2 linked regions of the Nothobranchius furzeri genome follow. The protein of the gene in region 2 purifies or fractionates together with the protein of the main gene of each other region. This does not show direct contact. Links are inferred from orthologs where the notes say so. Each region holds a gene or a part of one and is shown on either strand. Other genes may lie near its edges.

Region 1 (3,596 bases), about 4.7 Mb from region 2:
TCACTGGACCTCAGGGACCTGCTGGGGGTGTAGGGACTGAGAAGATCACCAATGTAAGATGGTGCTTGTCCATGTAAGGCGCTAAAGACCAGAACCAGGATCTTGAAATGAACCCTGAAGTTGACTGGCAGCCAGTGAAGCTGGAGGAGAAGCGGGGTGATGTGGGTGTATTTGGAGGACTTGGTCAGAAGCCGAGCACAGGCATTCTGAACCACCTGCAGACGGTTCAGGGAGGTTCTGCTCAGACACGTGAAAAGAGAGTTACAGTAGTCTAAGCGTGAGGAGATGAAGGTGTGGAGAACAGTCTCAAGTTCAGAGCAGGACAGAATGGGACTCAGCTTAGCAATGTTCCTGAGATAGAAGAAGGAAGAGCGAACATGAAGTGAAACTAAAGAGAAAATCAGAAGACTTTTGCAGTAAAAAAAATGATCGGATTTTGTCTTTTCTCGATTCTCAGTTGACTTTTACAAAACATCTTAGAATATTAGAGCGTCTCAAGAAACAAACCTAATTAAAAACCATTATATGCATAGATGACAATAATGAGCTTTATTTCTATACAAGCAAAATGAAAAGCAAAAAAGGGCTATTTTTCAGGAGCTTTTTCTGGAACGTCTTCCGGTGATTTGGAGGAGAATTTCTTCATTAAAGATTTCCACAAACCCTTCTTTTCCTCATCCATGCTCTGTTGAATACTCCCTGTAAACAAACGTGGTGTAACTAACAGCGGATCTGTGGCAGCTCTACATGACGGATGAAAAAGAGTCAAAAACATACGACAGATGAGATGCTTTAGGTTTCCTACCTGACAGAAGGACTCTGCACTCCTCTGCTGTAACACCGGTAAAACTTGTGTCTCTCACACGAGGAAACTGGACAAAACACACATTATTTGTACGATTCAGTATAATAAAGTCTATCATTACACTTTTTAATTCCAGCATTAAAAGGAGATTATTTGAGTTTCATGAGAATGTTTGGTTACAAATTACAAACACATACTTTTTACAAATTAACCCAACGTGGTTTACTAACATCAAGTAAGATGTTTTACTGTCATTTTCACAAAAAAAAAGTATATTTTTGTCAGTTCTTGAATGCAGCACACAACAAATAAAAAAGCAATGGTGAAAATCAACTTACTCTTTGTCTGTACACGTTTCCATTTATACGAGCCAAACTTTCATACATTTGGTCACATTTCTCTGGATCTGCAATCTGAAAAGGTGACAAAAGATGGAACTGTTAATAGAATAGCTTTTAATTTTGTTTGGATGCAAATGAAAGCTGAAGGAAGTGGTTTACAAATTACTTAAGCAACATATTTGACTGCAAATGATTAAAACAAATTCTCTGAATATATAAAAATAGCACAGTAAGTCATATATAAAGCATAATTTATATTCATATTAGCCAATGCATTATCTATTTTAACTGTCATAAAAGAATAATAACCTTAATATTTTTCAGTCATGAGTATAAAATTCAGTCGTGTAAATGTTAAATGTTTGCGAAAAATAACTAAAATAACACTTTTCAGTTGTTAATTTTTAACTGTCGTATTATACAATTTATTAAAATAATACAACATCATAATATAGTTTTGTATTAATTTAGTAAAGTATATTAGCGCGGTGTTATTTCTGCAGCTGCGTCTTTTCCACATCAACAAACGCTGCAAGGTCGACAGGAAGCGTTTGTCCAAAGCTTCAACAGCCGCCGCGTGACCTCCTACCTGCGTGTTTTCGCCCTCGCGGAACGCAGAAGCGACCCTCTGCCGCAGAAATGTTCCCAAATCGCGGCCCTTTTTGGTCTCGTCTCGGGGCCATTCCTCGCATAGCTTTAAAAACCGACGATATCGTGTCGCAGACATCTTTGGTCATGTAATATTTACGCGAACGAGTACGTTCACGGCTTGAGCCTTTTCGGACACCGTAACTTGTGTCACATCTAAACTGTTCCCCCTTTAATTTCTGCTGGGATCTCGCGTGTGTTCCTTTCCTTCAAAATCAGTCAGTGATTGATATGCAGCAGTGTCTGTTCAATTTTCTGTTTTTGTTTCATAACTACTGCAGTAAGGCTTACGGTCTTAAATTAGTTTATGTTTGCTGTAAAATGTTTGTTTTACTGTATTTCCCCAGTTGCACAATGCCGTGAACAGTTTCAATTAAATATTATCAAGAGTGCATATGAAGTGTCTTGATTTTCCTTTACAATTTATGTTTTTCAACATGCCATGCAGGCTGTCCAGACTTGACATGTCATTGGGAAGCACCTACAAAGAAATCCGTCACAATGAGAACATGTTCAAACCATTTGATTTTGTGACCAAAGGTGCCGGTGTAATGACTTGTAATTGTGACAGCCCTGACACTTTGATATAAGTACTTGCTTTTGATGAATATATTACCTGTTTTGATTAAGGGACTTGCTTTTGAAGCATTGACTACTTATTCTGAGCTTTTGAACAACTGACTTTTCTTTTTGATGAAATGACTCACCTTTGCAAGTTATCCACCATGTTTTGCAGTTTGCACTAATTGTTTTGAGAAGAGCGTGCAGAGATCAATTCTGTTGTGAGAAATGCACCAAAGCAACTGAGAAAAACTAATATAACTCCTCAGCTAAAACATTCAGAAATAACAGTTTGATTTTAAATTAAATTATTAATGATGTTTTTTTATTCTTTGTACAAAGAGTTTACTGTTTTAAATGAAAATCTAAAAGTAAACTATACGTATTTGTTACTCTGGGTTTATTTGTCATTAGGGATTTTTAAAATCAACTAACATGTTATATTTTTAGTTTTTTATGTTATAATTTAAGACAAAACTAACATCTGTTTTAAAACATTCTTAAACCTCATTGAATTGTAGTTTCGGTTCCAGAAAATAATTGCTCAAGCTTCAGGCAGTTTTAGCTGTCCTAAATGTGTAATAAGGACTGATTGTTGTTGGTTATTTTAAATTACTGTGCAATCTTTGAATGTCTTGTTTACATTTTTAGGAATCTTCTGGTCAACGTAGGCTTGTTTGCTTCAGGCGTTTGGGTTGCAAGAAATCTCTCAGATTATAATCTGATAATTAATAATTAAGCTGGAGGGATTGCAAGGAGCTCAGATACTGCTGGACCATGCTGCACAAGCCATTACTGTCATAAAGAAGAGCAGGTTTCAACCCCACCTCCACAGCCGAGACATGCGCAGCAAGGTCGAGACTCTGAGGAACAGACGGACTTTCTACCAGCAGACAGATATTTGTGAGCTACGTCAACATAAAGGTCCTGAACTGACATGGCTGCATAAAATCACAAGTTTAAAGTCCTTAATGGCTGAACATCTAGCAGTCAGTCTGACTAAAAGATCACAATCACAAAGATGCTATTTAAATGTAATTATTTTCATTTAATCAGAGGTGACATTTATAAAAACTAAACAAGTAAAGATGATTTGTTTCCAAAGTAGCACAAGAAATATTTCTGTATTTACTGGAGTTGTTTGTTTCTTCTTTGTTGGTTTAAGATGCCTAAAAGACAAGAAACATGTCAGTTAGAAATACAGCTTTTGACTTTTACAGTAACTGGATTGTTTTATCAGA
Region 2 (4,016 bases):
CTCCGACTTCCTCCTGCGAGTGCTGAGGCGTCTCTTTCACACTGCAGAACTAAAACACAGATGAAGAGTTTCCTTTTATATGAGACCAAAAAAAGTCTAATTTCTTTTCCCCACAAATAATCCGTGTGGGTCGGAACTAGGTCATGTGACACGATTCCTTCAGGTTGTTGATATTTAAATGGGGCAGCAGCAGCTCAGGAGGCAGAGCGACTTGTAATCAGAGGGTTGTAGGTTCAATCCCGGCTCTGCTGCTGAGTCCACGGGGGGGGGGGGGGGGGGGGGGGGGGGTCTAGGAGGCGCTATATCAAACATAATAGGCCATTTTAAACAAGCTGTACCTAAATATCGGCCCATCCAGATCAAAAGTCTGACCGTTTCCTCGTCTTTGAACCATCACTAAGCACTGATCCATGCTAGCAATAGCGTGTTCCCCCTTTCAGAGTAATCAGCCACCCTATTTGGACAGCCCAAGTCCCGCCCATCTACTTCTGGACCATGTGTTGTTGGAAGAATGAAAAAATAAAAGCAAGTTAATCAGTATTTGTCAGACACGTGACCTGCATGTCAACCACACCCCCTTAGCGCCACTTTAGGTGTATGACTCGCGTTGCTGGGGGAGCTGCAGCTGGAGTTGAAGCAGAAGAAAATTCACAAGGATGGATAAAAAGAACAAGGACAAACACATCCTTACAGAAATAAACCTGTGAAGGAGGCTAGTGCTCGGTATTTTCAGAAATACAATCAATAACGTAGATTCCTACAACCTCAAAGGAAACAAACGGAGATCAGACGTTTCATTGCTGCAGAAAATATAACACTAGAGTAAGCGCAGCACTACTTCAACGTGTTTATAATCACATTGTATAGAAACATGACTCCACTAACACAGGGCTGCACCAGGTTTTAATGAGCTTTGAAAGAAAAGCGTCTGGACTTCTTTGAGTTGCTTGAAGACGTTTCACCTCTCATCCGAGAGGCTTCTTCAGTTCTAAGGTCAAATGGTGGAGAGTCCCAGATTTAAACCCAGTGGGAGTTTCCCCCCGAAGAGGGAACAAAAGACCCCCTGAATAACCAGCTGTACCTGCATCGGTGGAAAGATCTTTCCAAATGTTCTCCTTTCTGCTCCCTGAAGGCAGAGTCATCTTCTGGTGCGGTGTTGCTGTAGCTTTAGTAGAGAGGGAATAATCTCACCATAGGCCAGACCTGTATCCCTGGAGTCTGCTAGTGTGGAGGTGTGTATATAAGGCTAATGACGCTAGCATGCTAGGCGGTGTTAGCTGATTAGTTACCTGCAGTATTACCAGGAGAGGATGTGTGACCGCTGCTGCTGCGGTGATGTTCTCTAGTCCAGAGCGGGTCTACACACGTCATTAACTCTAAGTTATCGTGTATTTTGTGTCCAAAGGCTTTGGTTTATTCGTAACGCTTCCTCCCTTGATGAACTATCTACTTTGCTATTTAGTTACCCTGCCGTCATCCTCTCTTGTAAAGTAAAACCAAACGTTGGAGCCACTTAAGCCTTTTTCCAGGAACAGTCTAAAACAGCTGAGTAGTGGTATTGATAAGGCAAAAGTGGCGAATGATTCCTAGTAATAAGGGATGGACAATATTACGGCCTCAATATCGGTATCGGTCCAATAAATAAAACCAGGCCGATATTAATAACCACCAATACTTTTTCCATCTTGTTTCCATTTGTTTGCCTGTTTCAGAGGGTGAGGGGGGTGATGTGTAATTATTTAGTCATGTGACAGTGAATGTAATCACCTCAGAAGTGTAAATGTAATAATGTATATTCAGCTTTAATAATTTTCATTTCATACAAAATTGCTGATTTTAGAAGTGCTAATGCCGGTATATCGGTATCGGCCATAACAGTGATCTTAACATCGGATATCGGCCCAAAAATTTCATATCAGTGCATCACTACTAGGAACTGAAACAAAGGTTTTCCATTCCCAACCCAAGAATGCACACATCCTGAATTTCACACACTACCTCCCAGGAATTCTGATAGATCCAGGGAATATTTATGATGTGCGCATGGTCTGGCTGCATGTTGTTACCCGTGTGCTGAAGTGCAGAGTCCGATATTGTGCGGAACAGCTGAATCCAGTCAGCTGACAGGCTGCAAAAGCGCTGGGACAAATTTCCTGATTCACCACCTGGAATCAGAGTGGAATGATGCTGTTAAACAGGATAACAGCCAAAGTCAGCTGTTATGAATGTGGAGTTTCTACTAAACCTACATTTTCAGCTGATGCTTAATAAAAGAGAATTAATATGAATAAAAAATGAAACAGTGGATTTCTGATCAGAAATTAAAACTAATTAGTTTACGTTTGATCGTATTTTAAGAATGCCTTTGATTTTTTGCTTTTACTTGATCACAAAAAAGACAGCCAGGCATTCATTATACTAAAGTAAATTATAATAAATATATTTAATAATTAAAACCACGAGCATCGTGGTTATTAACAATAACTTTACAGCAGGTAAAATTAACAATTAGCCAAAGATGAGTTTTAAACCAATCAGCTGACAGCCTCTAGGGTGACTAACCCTGTAAACCGGTCAATTTGGGACTCTGAGCTGTAATTTTTACAGAAACATGCTAGCCAGCCATGCTAACTGTTAGCAGCTACCTTAGCGACTGCGGTGCCGCTTCCCGTCGCTTTAATGAGCCTCCGGGCGACGACCTGCAGCGGCCACCGGTACATGGCTGCTCCGGGTCCCGCTGTCAGAACCACGGAGGAACTCTTCACCGCGGCTACCGGTGGTAAAACCTTCAGGTTCGGTAACACCTGTCCCAGCAATGTCAACGGATACGGTCCCAGAGCGAGTACTGTCCGGGCACAACAAAGCAGAACGAAAACAAGGTTCCGCCTGTTTTATAAACGTCAATGAAAACATTAAAACAACAAGGGAGGATGTATATTGGCATTTGGTATTTTGTTATTACAATTAACAAAAAAAGAAAATAAATACAAACTTCAGGTGAACCCAGAAGAGTCAGACTTATTCACTGCTTTTTCATTCATTTATTTTTCATATGTTTAGCAAACAGATTCACTGTCAGGATAAAAATCTGTTTATTTTTATTTTTACAAATTGTTATTTTAGTTTGGTTGTTGAGCAACAATAAAGCAAGTTAACAAATATATAGAGTTGTGTGTGCGTGTGTGCGTGTGTGTGTGTGTGTGTGTGTGTGTGTGTGTGTGTGTGTGTGTGTGTGTGTGTGTGTGTGTGTGTATTTGTAAGTAGCTCTCCTGCTGAGGCAGCCTAATTTTTGGAGTGTGGCTAAAGAAAACACACAAATGAGATGTCGAGGTTTTTGATGTGCACCCCCCCCCCCCCCCCCCCCCCCCACACACACACACACACACACACCGGCTCACTGCTGCTACACCTCCTGACGCAGGCCTAGGAACCTGCCTGCTGAACAAACTAATGATCTAAGCTCCAGCTGCTCCAGCTGTGAGCTCGGCTGCAGCTCAGCTTGTAGGCTTGTTCCTGAAACTGAACCGGACTCCTGGAGCCGGTCTGGGGTGCTCTATAAGTCCTCCAGTGTTGATAAAGTCTGTTTCTACCAAATACACACTGAAGCCGGAACACACAACAGTTTGATTTTATCATCTAACCATTTTTAAGAATAATTGAATCCTGAAAACAAAAATAACAAATTAATCAGACAGAAGCTAACTTTTGTTCCTCTAATTAAAACTGTTGAAAACCAAAAACACGTCGACAGCATCAGAAATTTAAAACTGTCTAAGAAAACATTTTTTAAAAGGAAATTAAGCAATAGATAAATATGAAATGTATGAACCAATGGTGAAGTCAGAAACAACCTTCGTCTGTGATCCCTTTAGCATCACCTTTTCCTTCATTAGCGCTGGAGCAGCCCGGATGGTTGCAGATGTAAACTTGGCAGTCGGCCTCTAAAACTAAACTGATGTAGAATCACTTCTTTATATCAAGCAGCTCTGGAGCCACTCAGGCCGGCTGCAGCTGAT

The links. Proteins that work in one complex are often made in the same cells at the same time.
Region 1: the proteins of uqcc1 (region 2) and uqcc2 purify together in Homo sapiens (co-immunoprecipitation; 3 studies listed by BioGRID and IntAct, counting the BioPlex papers as one, with this or other methods). This does not show direct contact. The link is inferred for Nothobranchius furzeri from reciprocal best matches to the Homo sapiens genes UQCC1 and UQCC2.

What each region holds. Positions count from the first base shown.
Region 1 is NC_091743.1:73,466,433-73,470,028, reverse strand, and holds uqcc2 (ubiquinol-cytochrome-c reductase complex assembly factor 2), read right to left. Parts: upstream 2,105-3,596; 5' UTR 1,874-2,104; coding exon 1,736-1,873; intron 1,219-1,735; coding exon 1,144-1,218; intron 873-1,143; coding exon 806-872; intron 700-805; coding exon 587-699; 3' UTR 535-586; downstream 1-534.
Region 2 is NC_091743.1:78,149,392-78,153,407, reverse strand, and holds the start of uqcc1 (ubiquinol-cytochrome c reductase complex assembly factor 1), read right to left. Parts: upstream 2,863-4,016; 5' UTR 2,721-2,862; coding exon 2,646-2,720; intron 2,166-2,645; coding exon 2,067-2,165; intron 50-2,066; coding exon 1-49. UniProt on the Homo sapiens protein: Required for the assembly of the ubiquinol-cytochrome c reductase complex (mitochondrial respiratory chain complex III or cytochrome b-c1 complex). Involved in cytochrome b translation and/or stability.